Drosophila melanogaster: one gene and its partners. The protein of the gene in region 3 interacts with the protein of the main gene of each other region in a pairwise test. Each region holds a gene or a part of one and is shown on either strand. Other genes may lie near its edges.

Region 1 (9,632 bases), on a different chromosome or scaffold from region 3:
GATCTACTTGCAATGATTTAAATAAACTGGATAATTAAAACACTCTAAAGAGCGGTAAAGTACATTATGACTCCATTAAAATGCATCTAAATTACAAATTCTCTCTTCCAAATTAGAATCCTATTTTAGTTAAGATATTTATTTAAATTATTTAAGAGTTATTTGCTAACGAAACAAATGAGATATTTAGAATAAATTTAGTTAAAATTTTAAGTACAAAATTAATTAATATTTGGACCGTTTTCAAGAATCTGAAGTTTCGCTCAGAAAGTTGAACAAGAAGTTCCCCCAAGCACCGCAAGAAAAACACATATCATTTAATTTTCCTGATTTTTTTGTTGTTTATTTTTTGCATTTTTATAGTTTTTTGTTTAGAATTTTGCGGGGTTTTGAAGATTTTTATTTGTGCCCTCGTGGGGGCGTGCAAGTGACGAGTGAATTCATATTCGAACGCACAACCAAACAATCCCAATGAAACCCGACACTTGCCCGCCACCCGAGCGGCGGGTTTTCCATTTGCTTTCCAAGTATGTACAAAAACTTAAGTTAGGAGGGGCGAGGGGTGGGGATGGGCGTGGGCGGGGAGTGTGGTAAAAGGGGCCAAGAATAAGTATATAAAGGGAAATCCAAATCTTAGACGCAAATTGCGCATTCTTTCGATCGATTATAAAAACGGGTTTCTCGGGTTCCCAACTTAAAGAATACGTTTCTCGACTGCATGGGATGGATGGTGTGTGAATGGATGTGTGGTGTGTTTAGAGCTATATATGCTTGCAGCTTAATGCAGTAGTAGAGAAATCGAATACGAATATACGAGTACGAATAGTTTTGAAAAACGCGCAACGTTCGCTTAACCTTTGCCTTAGTCGAAAATTACATAAAATTTCATTTCATTCTCATTTTCGCCTCGAATATATAGATCATGCCTAGATTTCTATATGCCTAACTTTTGTTTCTCCTCGTTTAGCCTTCTGTTAGTTTTTCGTTCGTTTAGCTTAGTTTGCTTGCAACGTTTTCGCTTGCATTTACATAATTTTAAAACTTTTTGTTTTCTTGCACAACAACTTTTGTTTTATCCAAAATTTAGTTTTGGGTTTCTTTTTTGTTTGCATATTCCGTTTTTGTTTTGGGACTTTATTATTTGTTTTTGTTTTGGTTTTTTTTTTGTTGTGGTAATTTGTTTTGTAATGCTATTTAAAAAATAAATTAAAACAAATGAAAGCTACGTCAACGTTCCAGGCGATCTTGAAACATAATATCATCCGCTGAAACAATCCGATCTTTTTACTTATCTTCATTGAAAAGTGTAAATACACTACTGTATATATTGCTAGGTGTCGAAAACTATATTGAAACACGGTTAGTAATCGGGCAATCGTTCAGAAAGGAAGGGAAAACTTTGCTAACTAAAAATAAACATCTTCATTCATTTTCGGATTAGCAACTATGTATTAATTAAATAATTCATTATGTGGTTTGGCGTCTTCAATTTTGAATCAAAGCGCTGGCTTTCCATTTACTCTCCTATCCTCTGCCACAACTATATGCTCCTCTGTGGGGATTATTTTGAAGTTCTTACTCTTTCTATCTCTCTGGCTTGCATTTAGTTGGGGCCGTATTTAGTATATTTGCTAAGCGGAAGTCTGTACTATATATCTCTTGATTGTGTGTTTGTGAGAGTGGCTATATACAGGTTAGAGTGTGTGAAACGGGTATTTGATTTGCTAACTTAAACGCTAGACGGCCATTGCTGCTCTCTGTGAATTTTCTGCTTGGGTCTCTGATTCCGTTTGCCAACAATTCGCTTAAAACTATTCCGTATTTTTATGTATGTGGGCTTATATGTATGCTATTTATTATAGTTATAAATTAATTAATGCTGTACAAAAGTTTTCGCGATTTGAGTACTGCTTTTACGTCCAGCCCCATCGCGACATCTACTTCCACTCTTCTTCGATCTGCGCATCCGGTTTCACTTCCAATTTGGAGTTTTATCTATGTGCTTAACTAAAATCAATAATGCATCTCACTAACAATCCTAACAACTATACTACAATCGGACTTACTGAGGTTCTATACATATATCAAAACGTACGACTTAAGAATAACCCTCTGACCGCTACCACTACTTCTTGTTGTAGACGGGCATGGGAGGCGGTGCCAGCCCAGCGGCAGAGGGTGGTACTGCACCGGTGGGCGCCAACAGCATGGATGGTGGTACAGCAGTAGACATGGGGGCGCCCATTCCTCCAGACATATTGGGTGCGGCGCCAGCACCGCCAAGGGGATTAAAGATGCCGCCACCAGCGCCATTGTACTTCGCGTAGTCTTGGCTCTTATTCTTTTTGCTCTCCTTGTCGCGGTCACGATCGCTGTGCTTTTTCTTGCTGCTGCCACCGGAACTGCTGCCGCCCGATGAGCTGTAGCCACCACCGCCGGCACCATAAGGAGGCAGAACAGGAGCAGCTGCTCCGATCGAAGCGGATGTGGTGGTAGCCGTAGTTGGAGGCAAGCCATATCCGATTGCGCCAGGCAGACCCGCCGCTGCAGAGTAGTTATTGGGTTCAACCTTATTTTTGCTGATCTTAAGTTTAATGGGAGCTGACGCACCGGCCTGCAGGCTGCCGTTGGGATTCTTGATAACCATCTTCAGAGGCTCATTGGGAAGAGAACTGTCCTTGCTGCCACCGCTGCCGCTACGATCCTTCTGCTTGTCCTTCTTGTGCTTCTTACGCTCCTCCTTTTCCGTCTTGTCCTTGGACTTGTCCTTCTCCTTGTGTTTGTGTTTATCCTTCTTCTTTTTCTTTTCGGACTTGCTGCTGCTTTCCTCCTTAATCTCTCCGGCCTGTTTAGTGGGTACTTCCAAATCCATGGGTGCGGGCCCACTAGCCAAACTGGTCATCGGAGTTATTCCCTGTTCTTTCTTGATTGTCGCTGGTGCGGGCATGGGCTCAAGCAGTTCGGCCGGTGGTTTCAGGCCAGGCATAGTCAAGGCATCCGGTTTCAGGAGCGAAGCGTTCGATGGACACAGACTCTCCTTTAGCAAACTGCGCACCAGATCCGGCGTTGTCTCGATTCCGTTGGACATATTCAGAGGCGTGTGTTTCTCCTCATAATTCGGATAAGTTGGTAGTCCAGTTGTAGTGTCCAGCTTGCGAAGCTTTTCTCGAGGCATATTACTGTTATCTATTTCATCCAGCTTATTTAGTCCATACTGACTTCCCGAGATCTCGTTGGGCCGTTTTAGGCTTCCACTCTCTCCAGGATTGGTCAACAGGTCCCCGCCATGGGGTATCTGCTTCTTGTGAGGCGGTAGCATCGGCTTTGATGATCCCGAGCCGGAGGAACTGTTCCCACTGCCCACTGGGGGCATGACAGGACGGTGCTTATCCTTTTTGGTTGGCGTTAGTCGCTCTTTCTTGGGACTTTCTTTGTCGCGCGGATGGCTATTTAGCTTGTAATCGTGGCCGGGAGGCGCAGGAGGGGGTAGCAAACCGTTAAAAGGCTGTGGTTGCGACTGCGACATGGGCTCCTTTTTAATGTCTGGCCACTCTGGACTGAAGAGCGAGTTCTTGGACTGCAACGAGTGCTGGGATGCCTCCGGAGGCATCTGTTGCTGCTGAGACTGAGGCACTGGCTGCTGCTGCATGTGGCCGTAGCTCTGGCTCTGGGAATAGGGCAATTGCTGCTCGAAAGGCGGCATGCCATGGACGGTGGAGCCGGATTTGCTGCGATGGCCGCCGTATCCGGCGGGAGGCGGGGGCTGGGATCCATTGCTAGCGCCTGGATATCCACCACGCGACATCAGCGGGTTTTGAGGGGCACTATTACTGTATGGCGGCGGTGCGTTCGGATACATTTTGTTGCTCTGGGATTTATCCTTGGAGGACATGCCCGATGCAGAGGAATTAGAGGCGGATGGATGTGGGACCGGCTGCTGCTGCGGCTGCTGGGGCTTGGAGCCCGAAGTCATCTTGTGGCTGCCGTGAGGTGGCATGCCCACGCCTACCGGCGGCATGCCGCGAGAGGATTTGTGATAGTCCACGGGCATAGACGGTCGGCCAGGCTGCTGGCTTGAAGACGACGAGGATGAGCTGCTGCGCTGGCTGCCACTTCCCGAGGAACCGAGTCCACTGCTACTACTACGCTGGTGACTTGAGGGCATTCGATTGTTATAGCCCGGCTGCTTTGACTTGTGATCTTCAATACGAAGATGTTAAAAATGTGATTCTTTTTGCAGTTGTTGAAATACTTACCCGTATGAGCGTCGGGCGGCATGCCACCAGGGTAATTTGGCATCTTGTGACTGGAGGAAGACGACGAAGAGCTGCTGCCTGGCACTCCGCTCACTGAGGACGAGCGCTGATGGCCACCATCCTGTCGTCTTTGCTGCGGCACCATAGCCGGTGGCGGCAGTAGTGACGACGGATCCCGTTCCCGCTCTCTCTCCCGTTCACGATCTCGGTCCCGATCCCGGCTGTCGTTGCCGTTTAACAGCTCTGGTGGTGTCGTGATGTTTGAGTGGTAGCCCTTCATCATCTCGGTGATCTTCCAGTCCTCCTTTGGTTTGTCCTTGCTGTTAGCTGTCCGATTGCTGGCTCCCTGGGCGATCGCCTTGATCGAGTTAAGCTTAGACTTCAGACGGGCCGGGCTCTTCTCATAGATAGCGATGAACTCATCTGTCAGCTGCTTTAGCAAATCCAGCGAGACCGTCTTGTCCACATAGTAGAACCAGTGTTTGCCCTCGGTCGACTGGGGGATCTCCCATCGGGACCACTTGCAGGCTAGGTAAATGCAGAAACAGGCTACGACCGTGGGGCGATATTGGAGGCACATCGAGGTCAGATGCAGGCTGTGCCAGGATGGTTAAGTCAATTTAGTGGGAAATCTTTTGCAAGAATATCACATATAAATGTAGTTCGGTGAGTGTGTGCAGGGGGATTTCATCACTTATAATACAGATTACGTCTTTAGTTCTTAGCATGTTCTTAGCGAGTCTCTTTTATTTCTTGGGGATCTTAAACTTAAAAGAATTATTCTAAAACGTTTGCCGATATTTCGAAATGCGCAAATTTTCCCAATGAGCTCTCCTCATGTAATCAGAATTTTGACTATGTTTTAGGTAGGCAGGTATGCCAAACTGAATTTATCTTTTTTCCAGATGTTTTAGTATGCCAAAGGATTACAATGGTTATCATTACAATTCTTCAAATATCTTTTTCTAGGAATTAACGACTCTTTCTAGGAATTAGTCTTATTCTTGACATTTGGCGGATTTTCCGACACAAATTACAATGTTATTGCAGGCAACTGAGGATAATTACCGCGAGGGACACGGAAAATACTGCCTTTTTGCTAAGATGCGATATTTGTACAGACGTCCTGCTGCGATTAGGGACCGCGTGTTCTTGTTCGATTTGTGACTTGGGGTCGTCACTTTTTTTTTTTGTTTCGACTCACATACCTGGGTTTGTTAGCTATAAGCGAGGAATTAAGCAGGTAAAAGAACTGCCCAAAGATTTTAGCCACAAAAAGTCAGGGATCGAACTCTCTACAGCCTGACCACTTTCTGGGGAGGATTGGGCCAACACCACACCCGCACACACACACACATTGCTTATACCACAGCCGTATTTGCGTTGGGGGCGATCTCTAGGAGGGATTACACCATAGAGTAGCGCATTGCTAGCCATACCTGTTCGAGGCCAAGAAGTACGATGTCTGCGCCAGATCCTTGCATGCTAAAATATACCACAGTAATCAGTACCATCTGACATGTGAAGGGGACATGGCTTGGGTCGGATGGTGGGTGCATACCTTTGACCAGCTGGCAGGTGCGCACCACATGCGTGTGCGGATGATCGATGGCCACATCGAAGCCCAGCGTCTGCAGGAGCACGTTCTCGTTGAACACAAGCTCCTGGGCGAGTTCGGCGTAATTCTGCTCGGTGGTCGGCGGCAGGCACTTGTTGGCGGCCCGAATAACATGCTCCAGCTTCCGCGGTTGCTCTTCTACCTTGGCGGCCAAGAAGAGGCTCGCCGACGCCATGGAGTTGCGATGAAAGTGGGTGAAGGAGTGAAAGGCGTAGAACCGATGCATGTACACAATGGCCGTGTTGATGCACAGTTGGGACACCTGCAGACGCTGACCCATTTCCTGTATCAGATAGGCGGTCATCTGGCGGTACTGCAGCTCATCGTCGCCCTTGATGCCGCATCTTCTGCTTGGCGAATTGGCCAGCTGATCGTTGCTGAAGTACCAGATCTTGTCCTTCTCGAAAGGCAGGTTGTTGTTGGCGGTGATTGGAATCCCGCTGGCCGAGGCGGCCGCGGAGGCGGATGAAGAAGATGAGGCGGTGGCCGCCTGGGGCATTGGCGTGGCTAGGAGACTCATGGTTGTATGTTTCCTTTATCCGTGCAGCGGAGATGGGGATCTGGGATTTCGGGTTCCGCGTGGTTATGCGGGGACCTCCGTTTCACATGCAAACTGCGCCTCGGAATGGACCTAGTAATTCCCTTTTGGCTGATTCAGCTGTAGGAACTAACTGTACGAAGAGGAAGGGAGAGCGCTCTTTCTTTGTCGGCCGTGCTTGAGTGCGCTGGTATTGGTGTCTGTGTCCGTATCCGTGTGCGTTGCTGCTGTGGCGGGGGTGGCAGCGGTACGGAAGGGGCAGTGGGGATCGCACGGCACATCGGCTAAGCCACACTCGATATTTCGCTGTTTTTGGGAGACTCCAATTTGGGTTTGGAACGAGGGGTTAAATCCGCGGTCCGCACACTTTTTCCGCCGCCGCGTCTCTGCGTGTTTGTTTGTGTGTGTGTGTGCGTGGTGGAGATGGTATGGTGTGGTGAGGTTTTCTGGAAACTGCGACTGCGGCGGAAACGAAACGAGACGAAAAACACACTAACCGCGACACCAGGCGACGTGTTATGCAACTTTCGTATCAATTCATAGTTATTCGCACTGCTTTCGCCGGGCACTTTAACCATTACGGGTCGTTTACTCGACGTTTTTAATTCCACAACACATCACAGATTCCATTCACACAGTGACAATGACAAACTTTGCAGAAAAAAATGTATTTTCAAGTATGGCCGTCGGCAGGGCTGCCAGATCGATAAGGCTTTCCAAACCGATGTTTATTTCGCATTATCGATATTATTTTTAAAATATGGCAACATTGATTCTACTGTTTATGTTATCGATTAATAATCGTAAGGTAGATATTCAAATAAATGTAAATACATTTTTAAGTAACTTACCTTAAACTTTACATTTCGCTAACACATGTAGAAATATCACAATGTCAACATTTTTTCCCTTCTTATTCAATTAAAAAATAACGTATATTCCGGGGGAATCGAATTTGTACTTAATATGTTTGAACAGTCCCATCTTAAATATATCTTATTATATGTATATGGACATATTATATATGTACTTTGAGCACCTTCATTTAATCGCATGACTTTTTTTTATCAAAATATCCAAATGTTGTTATGTATATGTTTATATACCTAGTCGGACAACCAGCACTTCGGTTGAAGCCAATCCTCAAACACCGTTACATCCAGAAAAACTTTATGGGCTGGTGGAATCATTGGTCCGTACTTCTTCAAAGCCGACGATGGCCAGTACGTTACAGTAAATGACGATCGGTATAGGGCTATTGTTACCAACATTTTCATTCCTGAATCGAACAACCATGATGTCCAGGACCTGTGGTTCCAAAAAGAGGACGCAATATGTCACACAGCTCGTGCCACAATCGATTTAATGGTGACCGACTAATCTAACGTTTTGGACCTGTAATTGGCCTCCCAGATTTTGTGACTTCTTTCTGTGGGTGGGGATATGTAGAGTTATTGGTCTATGCGTATAAGCCATAACCGACCGAATCATAAGAAATAATACTAGTAGTAAAAAAGACATTCCGAATTCCTGTACAGCTCAAAATGGCTATACATTTTGAGAGCGATGCTCTACCCATTTGAAATCTGTCATAAAAACACATATGAATTTTTTATTGTTATTTATAAAACAGATAATATATATTTATAGTTTGTAGATTAAAATATACAAAATTTAGCTAAAAACCTTAAAACTCTTATGTCGTCATAACAGTAAATAATTATGCTAGCTTGTGACTGTTACTTGCTTCGTTTTTCTTAATGCATTCTTATAAAAATTAATCTAATCCGTTCGCTTGCGCTTGCCTCTAACCATAAAATTCACCTACATACCATGACTTCGATCCAACGTTCGTTTCCTTACTACATAAGCATTAAAGTATATATATATATATTATATATATTGTGGCTGGCTTTAGCTGATTTCTCATCGCAGACATTTTTAAAATGTGTCTGTCAAATGTACAAAGATTGAACAAAAAGTGAAATAAACAGTCTAAAAACTTAACTTAGGTTAGTAAGTCAAAAACTAATCGTATCTAATGTTAATGCATTCAACATATTCGTCTAAATCTAGGCCAATCCATATCTCTACTATTCTCAGGCGGCATAGAATACCTTTGAATAATCGCACGTTTCCATTTAAAAGCTATATAGTTCGTTTCGTTTTTGAGTTACCAATAGAAAGATATCTTGTCTTAGCCTTAGCCTAGCATAGAAATCTTGCCCAACGGCATCGATATTCTATTGCATATAATTTAGTTGGTCTTATCCAGCCATTCGGGGTTATCCAATCTAACAAATAATTGGTGTATACATATAAAATACGTTTATAATCGAGTGGAGTCATGAGGTCCAGAAGTTGTATATGTACAATTATCGTGCTTAGCATGTATAAATGCTTTCGGGTTGGAGTCTCCAACTGATTTAGGCTATCGAAGTGAAAGGAGAGCTCTCTGGGAAATAGGAGATTGAAATTTAAATGTACTATCTCGATTTAAAGCTGCATTATCCGGGTTGTGGCTCAGATTCTTGTTTACCGATTTCGTTGTACTCGACTCGTGATTTTTGCATATCTGGTTCGATGCTGCTCTTGTTGTGGGTGTGCTTATATCTAAGGTCTTATAACATTTAAATATTCATTCCCTAACAACTAATAACTGATTTACGCTAGGTAATAATGGTAGATGCGGTGATCTACGCCAATAAATAGACATACATATAAATCCATGATCTGGGGGAAACCTCATAAACTGAGACCTCGTGAAATGGTGTCTTAGAACTACAAAATACACCGACTGGACTTTATCTAAAATATGTGATCTCGACTTCAAATATCGTCAATCCGAATCTCGACTATCCTATATAGACTTTGAATATATTGTAACTTATGCAACATTATGTACTTTTCATGGGAGGTATATCTAGATTCCAAATTTGTAGCGGGTTCCATATATTTGTATCATATCTTTGCTTACGTTCTATATTTCATTCGGTTTTTATATTGGTTTGTTTTTTTTTTGGTGTGTTTGGTTTGCGAATGTGTAAATAAAACGCATGCACAAATTGAAATAATAATTTTATTTAAAAAATAAAAAATAATCATAAAAAATTGTTTACAATGAACAGAGTTGAACTCAAGACTCACTTTGTTTATTTGCATCATCAATCACCAATCATCATAAACAAAATGATATATTGTAGATTTCATCTTCACGTAC
Region 2 (4,980 bases), on a different chromosome or scaffold from region 3:
AGTGATACAGTTTCCGGCAAGTGCTTCTTTATTTATACAGTTAGAGAACCTGAACCTGAATCAGTGGTCGCTATAAAGCGATCGCGTCACGTTATTACCTCTGGCCAACGCCGACGCCGCGAGAGACGATCTGACTGCGATCCGTCTATATCCAAATGGCCCGGTTGTCAGCTAAGCGGCGTTTAGGGGTCTCGCCCCTTTGGCAGCCGGTATTGGGAATTGGCATTCAATTTTTATTAAATCTCTTAATTCGAAGTCATCTCGTTGCGTTGGCTTTTGTTTTTTTTTGGCCCGACCAGGGAGCTCTTTATGGCTGGGAGCCATAAACGTGTTGGGTTTTACGATCACCGCTGCGTTTGCCAAGTACTTAAAATAGTTTTTGGTTAGGCAATTATTGGGATAAATAGTTTATCGTACTTTTGGAGTTGTTAGACTATTTATTTCGTATGCATTAGTCATCATGTACCTAAGAAATGTATAACATTATTGATACATCACTATCAGGTTTTAATTAAAATGCTTAAAGACAAAATGAAAGACAAATCAAGTGTGCTATTAAAGTAACCTAATGTTTAAACATTTAAACTTTAACCCTTTTCAAAAGAGCATACTCAATTCGTTAGGGGCTTAATTATTTATTTCTGTCTAATCTTTTCATGGCACCTTTAAAAGACTTGCCCCATCTCTGGGCAACATTGAAAGAGGTCAACTGTCGTCCCATTGCCGATGGCTGCAATTGGCGATTAGCGATTTTGGTTCGGTTTGAACCTTTCTGTAACCGACACCGATCAATCCCTATAAATATATTCAAACCAAAACTCACATCATTTTTCATCCAAAAAGACAGTAATTATCGACACTGCAGGTGATGATCGAGCTGAACTAAAGCTAAAACCGAAGCCGTTTGGCTATTTCGGTTGATTGGCCGCAATTAGATTTGGAGGTCAGATTGAAATCCACATGGATCCCTTGGGGGCTGGGTGACAGCAATTTGGGTTTGATATCTTTGACCTTGAGGATGGGGAAAGAGTGCGAGTGGTGTAATACTCCATTTTATTTTTTGTTAAAAATGCTTTTAATGTGTACAGCTTAAAACTAGATGCAGTGCTTGTGGTTTGGTTTTTTTTCGGTGGTTGATTATCCTAATGCCTGAAACGGCGAAGTGGAGGCTTGTAGTGGTAACCAGGCTCGGCGTCGTGGATTGGACTTGGTGCAGGGCCCAAGGGCAGTGCATAGGATGGAATCGGTATGTGGAAATCTACCTCAGGCTGGGGTGGCAGATATTTTTGTTCGGGCTTAGGAGGCAGATACTTCTCGACGGGCTCGGAAGGTGGCAGGTACTTAGTCTCCGGCTCGGCAGGAGGAAGATACAGCTTCTTGGGAGCCACTGGTGGGGGTGGAGGTGGTGGTGGCAGACTGGGTGCAACCTTGGGTGGCAGATACCTTGCCACTGGAGCAGGTGGCAGATACTTCACCTCGGGCGTCGGAGGAGGAAGGTACTTGGACTCTGGCGGACTGGGAGGCAGATATGTGGGCTTGGGCGCCACAACTGGAGGTGGTGGTGGAGGAGGCAGGCTGGGAGCGACCTTGGGTGGCAGATACTTGGCCACCGGTTCGGGGGGCAGGTACTTCACTTCAGGCTTTGAGGGAGGCAGATAAGTTGCCTTGGGCGGTGGAGGTGGTGGCGGTGGCAGGGAAACCTTGGGCGGCAGGTACTTCTGGCGAGGTTTCTCTGGAGGTCCATAGCTATATCCGCTAGGGATATCGAACTTGGCCTCTTGATGATGATGATGGTGGTGATCCGGCTGATAGTGCAGATCAATGTGCAGATCATGATGATCGTGTGACGAGGGAGAATGGTGGTGGGAATGGACATCATAGTGGTGGTGATCATGATCGTGATCGTGATCATGGTGGTGATGGTGATCATGGCCGTGATCGTGGTAACCTCCTCCGTACAGGTGGGACACGTCTGCCCGAATACAGATGGCAAAGCCTGCCAGAGCCAAAAGGATCAGCATGGGTTTCTGTAAAATAACCAACCTCCTGTTAGGTCATCTTTATTAGAGAATATGCCGCTACTGTTTACCATTTCCTTTAAGAGATAATCCACCGATCGAGATGATGTTGCTGCCGTTTGATGACAGCAGGTAGTAATGTCAATAACGTCGATGGTCACCGCTTTTATACAAAGATCGCGCCTTCCTCGACCGGCTGGCTATTTGGTTTTCTTCACACTTTTCTTGGTTTTCATGAACTTGAGGTCGGCCAATTATCGGCGTGTGTTATCTCCCTCTACCCCAAAACAATTAATGCGATTTCGACCAAATTAGCTCTGCACAACAAAGCAGCTCATGAATATGCAGCGGATGCGACGAAATCCCAGACAATTGACGGTGATTGACTCGGCCATCTGTACCACTTTTGTCCCATCCCAATAAATATTTGGGAGATACCGATGCTAATGGGGTTAACAAAACAGCGTTTATTGAGATGGCTTTAACCTTATATAAACCTAAGCCTAGTGGAACGATTTAAAACAAAACTAATCCGGGGAAATCTTCCATGTTCAGTTCGATCGCGATTTTGCTCAGAAGGTGAACTCTTGGGCGGGCACATCGTAGTGGTAACCCGGTTCCGGTTGTGGTGGTGGGGGTGGAAGGTACGTGGGCACTGGCGTGGGTGCAGGTGTCGTTGTGGTTGTAGTGGTGGTGGTGGTAGTGGTACGCGGTGGTGGAGGTGGGGGAGGAAGGTAAGTGGGAGCAGGAGTGGGAGCGGGAGTGGTTGTCGTGGTAGTGGTAGTAGGTGGAGGGGGAGGAAGGTAGGTAGGAGCGGGAGTAGGAGCCGGAGTGGTTGTGGTGGTAGTTGTGGTTGTGGGCGGAGGAGGAGGTAGGTAAGTGGGTACTGGTTTGGGTGGCAGATAAGTCGGTGGTGGCGGTGGTGGCTCCGTCGTCGAGGTAATCACAAATGGTATCTCCGGCTTGGGGTAGTCATAGCCATAGCCATGCTCATGATGCTCCTCCAGGAGTTCCAGCGGCAAATGCGAAACATCACCGGCTGCAAAAGCCAGCAGACAGGTAGCCAAAATGAATAGCTTCTGAAATAGGAAAGAAATCGTGAAGTTCAGATTGCTTCTCATATCTACAACTGACCACACTCACCATCTCCTTTATGATATGTCTAACACCTTGAGCTCTTAAACCACAAATGATTGAGCGTTTGCATCCACGTCGGTTTATTTATAGTCAAAATTCTAAAACAGATCGATACTGTCCATGGCGCTCTAGAGGCCAATTATTATCATTTAAATCGATATAACACCGCTAGCCCCACGGCATTCTTTGTATCGGTAAATGTATCTGTATCTGTAGCGCTCTCCGCAGCCATGTTTATATGAATGATTAGCGCCACAATAGTGCGCCGAAGTTGACAGAGGAGCAGCGTCAACATCGCCAACTTTGTTTCGGAACTATTATGCCTATATGGGGCCCTACTGAGCCGTTTTTCATCAACGTCGTCACTTGGGTTTTCATTGTTACGGTGTTAAAGGTATGACCAAACTTCCGACGGAACCTGGGGCACAAAAGCTTAGCACACAGAAAAACAGTCATAAATTCATAAAAATTCTGAGCAGATTTTGAATCAATTTGAAATAAGTAATCAGCGAGTACTTGCATTCTGATATGGGTTGCTACATATTTTAAATGTTAATTAATGAAATTCATTCATACATGAAAGGTACATGCACTTAATGTTATTTATTTTAAGCTAGTCAAGCTAAATTTTCTCTCAGTGCATCTGAAGAGGTAGTTCCGTCGCTGGAAGCGTTGTAAGCGTGCTCTGCTGGCTGTCATAAATCATTTAGACTTCATTTATAATAATTATGGCTCGCGCTGCCTTTTGCAACTCAAGAAGTTTGAGTGGTCAGAGTTTCATGGACAGATGGACAATGAAGCTGTCTGCTGGACATGATCTTGCGGAAGCAATTCAGTTACAGATCAGTCGAGTTATATAGCAGAGGCGGAGAAGATGGTAAGGAGCTTAACGGCCACGGAGAACAAGGAAAATTAAGACTATTTTCAAACTAACATTTTTTTAATGGTGGTAGTCAGAAGATATCGAAATAGTTTTAGGAGAAGACCTATGTTTATAGTGAATGAAATTATGAACAAGTCTGGAAACATTTAATTTTATTCTTAAGGAATACTTAAATATTATTGTTTGAACAGTTTAGACACGGTGTTTACAAAACTAAAAAACTATTTTAAATAATGTCTGGATTATTTAGAACTCTCTATTGATTGGAGACCAGCCGCCTTAAGTTGACTAATTAGTTGGATTAGCGTCTTCGGCTACGATTGTATAAACAAACAGACGATACTGGTCCAGATTCAACTATCACTTTTATTTGACCGCATGCCAAAAAATCAATGGGTTGTTGAACTGCATAGTAGAGATCGAACTGATCGATTGTCAAGTGCCGGAATTGGATGGCGTGTGCTGAACCATCCTCGTTTCTGCTCGCCTTTGGCCAAAATGCGAGTAATTTATGCCGATTATGGAATTAATTGTCGTTTTTTATGGGCATTCATCTCAGCGTTGGCTAGGCCTCAGCAGTTTTGATCTATCGCAAATCTCTGCGAATTTCGTGATTCCTCAACCGGTTTGGATTAGAAATATTTGGTCGAGCAGAGACATTTTGTGCTTTTTATGAATACACTACTCTAAGCTGTGAATCTCGTTCTGAGCCACGTCCAAGGCAATGAGTTTTTGGAATAAGCCCTGTCCAAGGGCCTGAATTGTGAAAGGAACGCCGTTAGATTTCGATTTGATTTTATTGTTTATTATCTTTACGAAACTTTGGTACAAATTGGAATTAGTAAGGGTGGAATTTAGCTCTTAAAGCGCCGACTGGGCACCTGGTATTTGTATCCATGGATTTTCTTGGAGGCAGTTGTGCCGGCTGTTGTTGGTTCTACT
Region 3 (6,447 bases):
GGAGTAGTGCATCATATTATCATATCGTTACATATAGGCTCTGCTAAGACCCACCTCTGCTGCCTCTCCCTGCAGGTCATCCACTCGAAGTATCTGTACTGCATCACCCGCTTGGGCACAAAGTCCATGCAGTAGTTGGTAAAGTCCACCACGCTGCGATTGCGCTGCGGCAGGTTGAACACTATGATGCAGTAGCTGCAAGTAAATTTAGTTTAAAAGAAGGCGCACACACATAACTCTGCATTGGCGCTTTACCTCAGCTCCCGTTCATCCGGTGAGCCATTCCATGCAATGGTGGCTCTGCTGCACCGCGTTCGCACATTGAAGACTGTCGTGTTCTGCGGCAGCTCGGGCAAATCCCGGAACAGAGCCTCGCTGCTCAGGGCCACCTGTTAAATAGGGGTATACATTACTTTGGGCCAAGCCACATAGTCCGCGGACTGATTATCTCCCTACCATGACCTTCTGAGCTCGCAACGCCTCGTCATCGTTGCTGGGCTCGAACCGCATGAGATAGCGCTCCCCTGGTAGGACTCCCTTCTGCCGAATGTACGTTGGACTATAGAAGGCCTCCGTTTTCCCCACCTCGCTGCGTTGCCGTAGCAGCTTCACCCGGATTTCGCTGCCCGAGCAAGGGATCAAAAGGTGCCTCATGAACGGCTCCCCCAGCTGGCGAGTCGTCTGCGGAACCTTGAAGCTGTACACCTGCTTCCCGTGCTGTCCACCGATCTTGAGTTGCATCAGAGCCTGCTGCTTCAGGGCCAGAGGTTGGGTGCGGTTAAAGTTCACCTGGCTGCTGGCCAGTCGCAGGGTGAGGTTCTGTCTACCCTGGTGGATTCCGAACAGGTCCAGATGGTAACTGCTCCTCGGAAGAAGGCGTCGCAGCAGCTGTTGGCGCCTCTTCCCCGTGCACACGATGTGAACGTTCTGCCTAGGATTAAGTCTCCTTTCCCGCTGGGGTGGAGCACCCCAAATCCCTTCCAAGGGACCGCCTGCGGCGCAACTGGGAGTCATGGGCTGCTGGTCCGTGTAGGCGGACACCGCCTGGCAGAAGTTGGTGAAGATCATCCGCGGCGTGTCCATGGAGAGTCTCTGAATCACCAGGCAATAGTGCATGACATGGAAATCAAACTTGCTGAAACGATTTTGAATAATCATAAGTTATAAGTATATCCGTGTAATAAAATCATCTAGATCTCACCTCCTTTCCCACTTGACGATCATCTCGCGCTTCCGCACGCGATTCTGGGTGCGAATGGCGATTCGGTGCGTGGCGTTGAGGAGGGGCCAGTCGTGCTGGGGATGCTCTGCCAGGGCGTCCACCTTGAGGGCTCCCGAGTGGCGGGCGAGGACGAAGAGGTCGTACTGGCCACGCAGGGCGCAGGGCAGCACCAGACTGCCCACAGCCACACCTGGCCCAGGTGCCACTGCCGCCGGCCGAAGGGGGTTTCCTGCAGAGGCGGTTGGGTGGCGGGTTAGTGGCGGTTGGTGGCGGTATGCGGCTCCTCAAAGGGGCGGACTTACCTGTCTGATTGTAGTACATCTTGCGGCCCACGGGCGCCGAAAAGCGAATCGTCAGCGGCGTCGAGTCGTTCAGGTTCAGCACAAATCTGGAAGACGGAGAACGAGATGAAGGCGGCTCTTCGAGGGGCGGAGTAAGTGAGCTGTTAACGCCCTTTGTCAAAAATGATGACACTAAATTATCACACGCAATTTGTTTTGCCGCCTGTCTGAGCCGAACTGAACCAAATGAGTCAGCGGCTTTTGGCCATACCCTCCCTGACTAAAGGATCAGCTTGGTTAGATAAGTCGTAACTTATAACTTATAACTTAACTTAACAATAACTAACTAACTAACTAATGAAATAACAATGGTGTCAAAAAGAATCTCATTTTGTATCTCTCACTGCATACTTTTAAATCACCTTTGGTATACAAGTTGGCTTAATTACGGGGCATCCGAAAGGGTATACCCTCTTCGGCTATCCTTGTCCTTTCGCCAACTTTGTTTATCCATCTTCGCTGATGCCGCTGCAACTTTGTTGCAGCCAAAGATTGCGCTCAAGTCCCCTGGGCACTGGCCCTTTGCTGAATTTGCTGGCTCTTGTATTGTAATTAAATGCGAAATTTACGAGCAATTTTTCTAATGACAAACTGCTAAGACAAATGAGCTCGCCGATACACCCACATGGACACAGGGAAACAGGGAGCTTCGAGCTGGCAAGGATGCAGTTTCCAAAGGGGCAGGACAGGATGGCCATTCCATTGCAGCAAATGACTCATTGACTTGGCGAGATGGTCGGCCATCTCGAGTTTTATTTTTATGACCGGCTACTTCCGGCCAACGCCATGGGCCATCCTCCTCGTCATCATCCCCCGCAATCCGGACGAGCGAACAGAAGTTGGTGCGCCACATAGCCATATAGCCATTATACCATGCAGTCCGTCGTATTTTTGGCCGCCCTGCCAAAAGGTTCGGATTGATGGAGTGTTTTAATGCATTTCGACCATTGTTGGCGGTGGCGCCGCTGCGACTGAGCAAATATTTGCTTTAATTTAAGCCTTGCATGTTGCAATGGCGATTGTTTGTTGTTTTCTGCTGTTGTTATTATTGTTGCTGGGGGCATCCTCGTTGTCGGCACGCTGACAGCAGTCAATTATACAAGGCAAACAACGGCCAAAGGCGAAAGTTGAATGCGCTTCCGGACGCGAAACTCCAGAATGACTTAATGCACTTTTACAAGCCAGCAGTGGTTGTTTAATGGACGGATTATCATATTACAGCGATTTGCGATGGATCAGTCAGAGGCACTGTGTAGTGTTAATACTGTTCCAGACCCCAAACCGATATACCCAAGCAATCAAATGTAGGACATCAGTCACATCACCTTCCCACGGAAACTCACACCAGCCGCAGTTAATTCGCAATTGTCCGACGTGACAGAAGCAATAATGTGGTGTAATAATCCGGGTCTCATCATCATCATCTTTCTGGGGCAGATTTTAAACCTGTGCCAGGGGATAGTGAATCTTTCGAATGAGACGGCCAACACGGTCATCTTCATGCTGCCCGAAAAGGACTTGGGTCCCGATGTGTGGAAGGCTGGAGTGGGCTGCCTCGATAGCTTCGCCCAAATCTTCTTCTTTCGCAACCCGAAGGAGCGCTTCACCAGAGCCTATAACTTGATGCTGGTGCACGCCTTTCATCTGTCCAGTCCGGCGGATCAGATCCAGGAAGGATTCAGCAAACTGATCAACGAAGCAGTCACGAATCCAGGGCCGCCGGACAGGGAGGAACTCTTCCAAATGCGCGTGGCCAGTGATTACAACATCACGAATGGGACCGAAGACAAGGGAGAGCTGATCCTAGCGGACAATTATGTGATAGTGGTGGACTCGGTGGATCGATTAAAAGAGCTAATGAAGAAAAAAATTGTCGAAATGCGATCCTGGAATCCAGGAGCGCGTTTTCTGGTGCTCTTTCATAATGCGACTTGTCGGAATCGACCGCTTGGCGTAGCCTCCAATATTTTCAAGGACCTCATGGAAATGTTTTACGTGCACCGAGTTGCTCTTCTCTATGCCAACTCCACCATGAACTACAATCTGCTGGTCAATGATTACTACAGCAATGTAAACTGCAGGATTCTGAATGTCCAGAGCGTGGGCCAGTGCCACGATGGCAAACTTTACCCCAATAATGCTGTCGTTAAGGCCTCCATGCAGGACTACGTATCAGGATTCAGTCCCAGGAACTGCACCTTTTTTGCCTGTTCCTCCATCTCTGCTCCCTTTGTGGAGGCCGACTGTATCCTGGGACTAGAGATGAGGATCCTGGGGTTCATGAAAAATCGACTGAAATTCGATGTGAGTATTTAACACTTTCATACTTCAAGATCGTCTTGGCTTGCAAAAGTCCTGCTTATTGTGCTAAGCTAACAACTATCCTATTTTCCACTGGTAAGGTAAACCAAACCTGCAGCCTGGAGTCACGTGGTGAAATGGATGGCCCAGCTAACTGGACTGGATTACTGGGGAAAGTCCAGAACAACGAGTGCGACTTTGTCTTCGGCGGCTATTATCCGGACAACGAGGTGGCGGACCATTTTTGGGGATCCGATACCTATCTGCAGGATGCGCACACGTGGTACATAAAAATGGCCGACAGAAGACCCGCCTGGCAGGCGTTGGTGGGTATTTTCGAAGCCTACACCTGGATTGGATTCATCCTGATTCTAATAATCAGCTGGCTGTTCTGGTTCACCCTGGTTATGATTCTTCCGGAGCCGAAGTATTACCAACAGTTGAGTCTTACGGCCATTAATGCCCTGGCCGTCACCATATCGATAGCCGTCCAGGAACGACCCATTTGCGAGACGACGAGGCTGTTCTTCATGGCCCTGACTTTGTATGGCCTGAACGTGGTGGCTACATACACGTCCAAGATGATAGCCACCTTCCAGGATCCCGGCTACCTTCACCAGCTGGACGAGCTGACGGAAGTGGTGGCCGCGGGTATTCCGTTTGGCGGCCACGAGGAGAGTCGCGACTGGTTCGAGAATGACGACGACATGTGGATCTTTAACGGATACAACATTTCGCCGGAGTTCATTCCGCAATCGAAGAACCTGGAGGCGGTGAAGTGGGGCCAGCGGTGCATCCTGAGCAACCGGATGTACACGATGCAGAGTCCCCTGGCGGACGTCATATACGCCTTTCCCAACAACGTTTTCAGCAGTCCGGTGCAGATGATCATGAAGGCGGGATTCCCCTTTCTCTTCGAGATGAACAGCATCATCCGCCTCATGCGCGACGTGGGCATTTTTCAGAAGATCGACGCGGACTTTAGGTACAACAACACGTACCTCAACAGGATCAACAAGATGCGCCCCCAGTTCCCGGAAACGGCTATCGTCCTGACCACGGAGCACCTGAAGGGACCCTTCTTCATCCTGGTGGTGGGCAGCTGCTGGGCCGCCCTCACGTTCATTGGCGAGCTAATAATCCACAGATGGCGAACCCAGCTGGTCAGCACGAGCGAGCAGCAGGACAGGAGGAGTGACAAGAGGAGGAGGAGGAGGAGGAGGAGGAAGCCAGAAAAGGATAACCGCTGGCAGCGACAAGTTCAAGTGGCTCCAGTCGTTCGATTTACGCCAGTCAAACGACGCAAAGTTTTCCAGGGACAAACAAGTCAAAAGTAAACTAACCCAAACTAACTCCCTAGATGGCTGCGATAAAATTGACTCAATTCACATAAATTTGCAATTGAGAGACACTGACTCTGACTCTGACTGGCAATCCCCAAGCCCGTCCCCCCGTCCTTCATCCCCCATCCTCCATCCTCCTGCGATGTCTGGGGCGCTTGTCTGGTCTATAGTCTATATAGTATGGCATAGTGTAGTATAGTATAGTGTGGTTGGTCTGGCCCGTGCCGTTCGGGTCGCTTCTGTTACTTTTCACGCGAAATACTTAAAATCAGAGACAAAATTCTATTTTTGCAAACAACAACGGCGGGGAGTCTGTGCCCGTGCCTCTGGGATTGGCATTGGGATTGGGATCGGGAATGGAAGTGGAGGCGGGCAGGGCAGTGCGCAGTGGACGAGCTCCTCGCCCCGCTTTCCGCAAATTGACAATCAGCCTCAGCTTTCCCAGCTGCTCTGCTGCCGGAAAACTCTGGGCGTAAACAGAGATAAAGAACGAGTTAAGCAGATATCCCTATAAGTGGCGCATTCGCTGATTGCAAAGGAAGTTACTGCAGGGCAGCCAAACAAATATCGCTCGGATATCAGATGGCGCAAGTTTCAGTTGGAAAATATCCCAAATGGAATTGGAAGTAGCGCCACGGAGCAGGGACAACTTTTGCGGAATTATGTGAGTTACGGGAAATAAATTCGTTGATTCTTGGCAATTCCCATTGAATAGGTAGTAAACTAGGTTGATGAAGCGTAAACCATTCGAATGAAATCAATAAAAAGTAATGAATAAAATTGAAGAAGGTACGCAGTACGATTTCAAAACAATAACGAATGACCAGTTTAATGGGATCTACATAATCTATAATTCATATAGATTTCAGAATTCAAAAGGAATCCGCCAGATACTAGATATTTGGAGTCATAAATCAGATGGCGCCTTGGAAAATTCCCATGGCAACTTGTTGAGACAATTCATCATCTGTTTCATTAATGGATCTTGTGGCCGACATTGAGTGCCGCATGAGTAATCATCTGCCGGCACGGGAAAGCCAAGTGGAAGTGAAGTTCGCCCACTAGCCCATTTGTCTCCCGTTTCACTCGTGATCCTGTTGTCGGCCAAGAACATAACAATTATTTGATATCTCTATTATTCCGATACTGATTCTGTGAGTGATTCACGACGCAAACAATGCGAAACAAAGACGCACTCAATTACTCACACCGAAATGGGCACAGTGAGCACTTAGTGTCC

What was found.
Region 1: the proteins of Ir60a (region 3) and CycT interact in a two-hybrid assay, tested with the Drosophila melanogaster proteins (one large-scale study listed by BioGRID).
Region 2: the proteins of Ir60a (region 3) and CG15022 interact in a two-hybrid assay, tested with the Drosophila melanogaster proteins (one large-scale study listed by BioGRID).

What each region holds. Positions count from the first base shown.
Region 1 is NT_037436.4:17,550,679-17,560,310, forward strand, and holds CycT (cyclin T), read right to left. Parts: upstream 7,111-9,632; 5' UTR 6,395-7,110; coding exon 5,818-6,394; intron 5,742-5,817; coding exon 5,696-5,741; exon of another isoform or gene 5,465-5,695; intron 5,154-5,464; exon of another isoform or gene 4,853-5,153; coding exon 4,257-4,852; intron 4,201-4,256; coding exon 2,126-4,200; 3' UTR 326-2,125; downstream 1-325. UniProt on the Drosophila melanogaster protein: Regulatory subunit of the cyclin-dependent kinase pair (CDK9/cyclin T) complex, also called positive transcription elongation factor B (P-TEFb), which is proposed to facilitate the transition from abortive to production elongation by phosphorylating the CTD (carboxy-terminal domain) of the large subunit of RNA polymerase II (RNAP II).
Region 2 is NT_037436.4:4,458,156-4,463,135, forward strand, and holds CG15022 (uncharacterized protein), read right to left. Parts: upstream 2,163-4,980; 5' UTR 2,093-2,162; coding exon 2,090-2,092; intron 2,028-2,089; coding exon 1,143-2,027; 3' UTR 1,038-1,142; downstream 1-1,037. Other genes in the region: CG15023 (uncharacterized protein), read right to left, coding at 2,591-3,097, 3,162-3,164; CG15024 (uncharacterized protein), read right to left, coding at 4,893-4,980.
Region 3 is NT_033778.4:24,247,809-24,254,255, reverse strand, and holds Ir60a (ionotropic receptor 60a), read left to right. Parts: upstream 1-2,952; coding exon 2,953-3,867; intron 3,868-3,965; coding exon 3,966-5,201; downstream 5,202-6,447. Other genes in the region: nord, read right to left, coding at 55-195, 256-389, 457-1,135, 1,202-1,451, 1,525-1,610.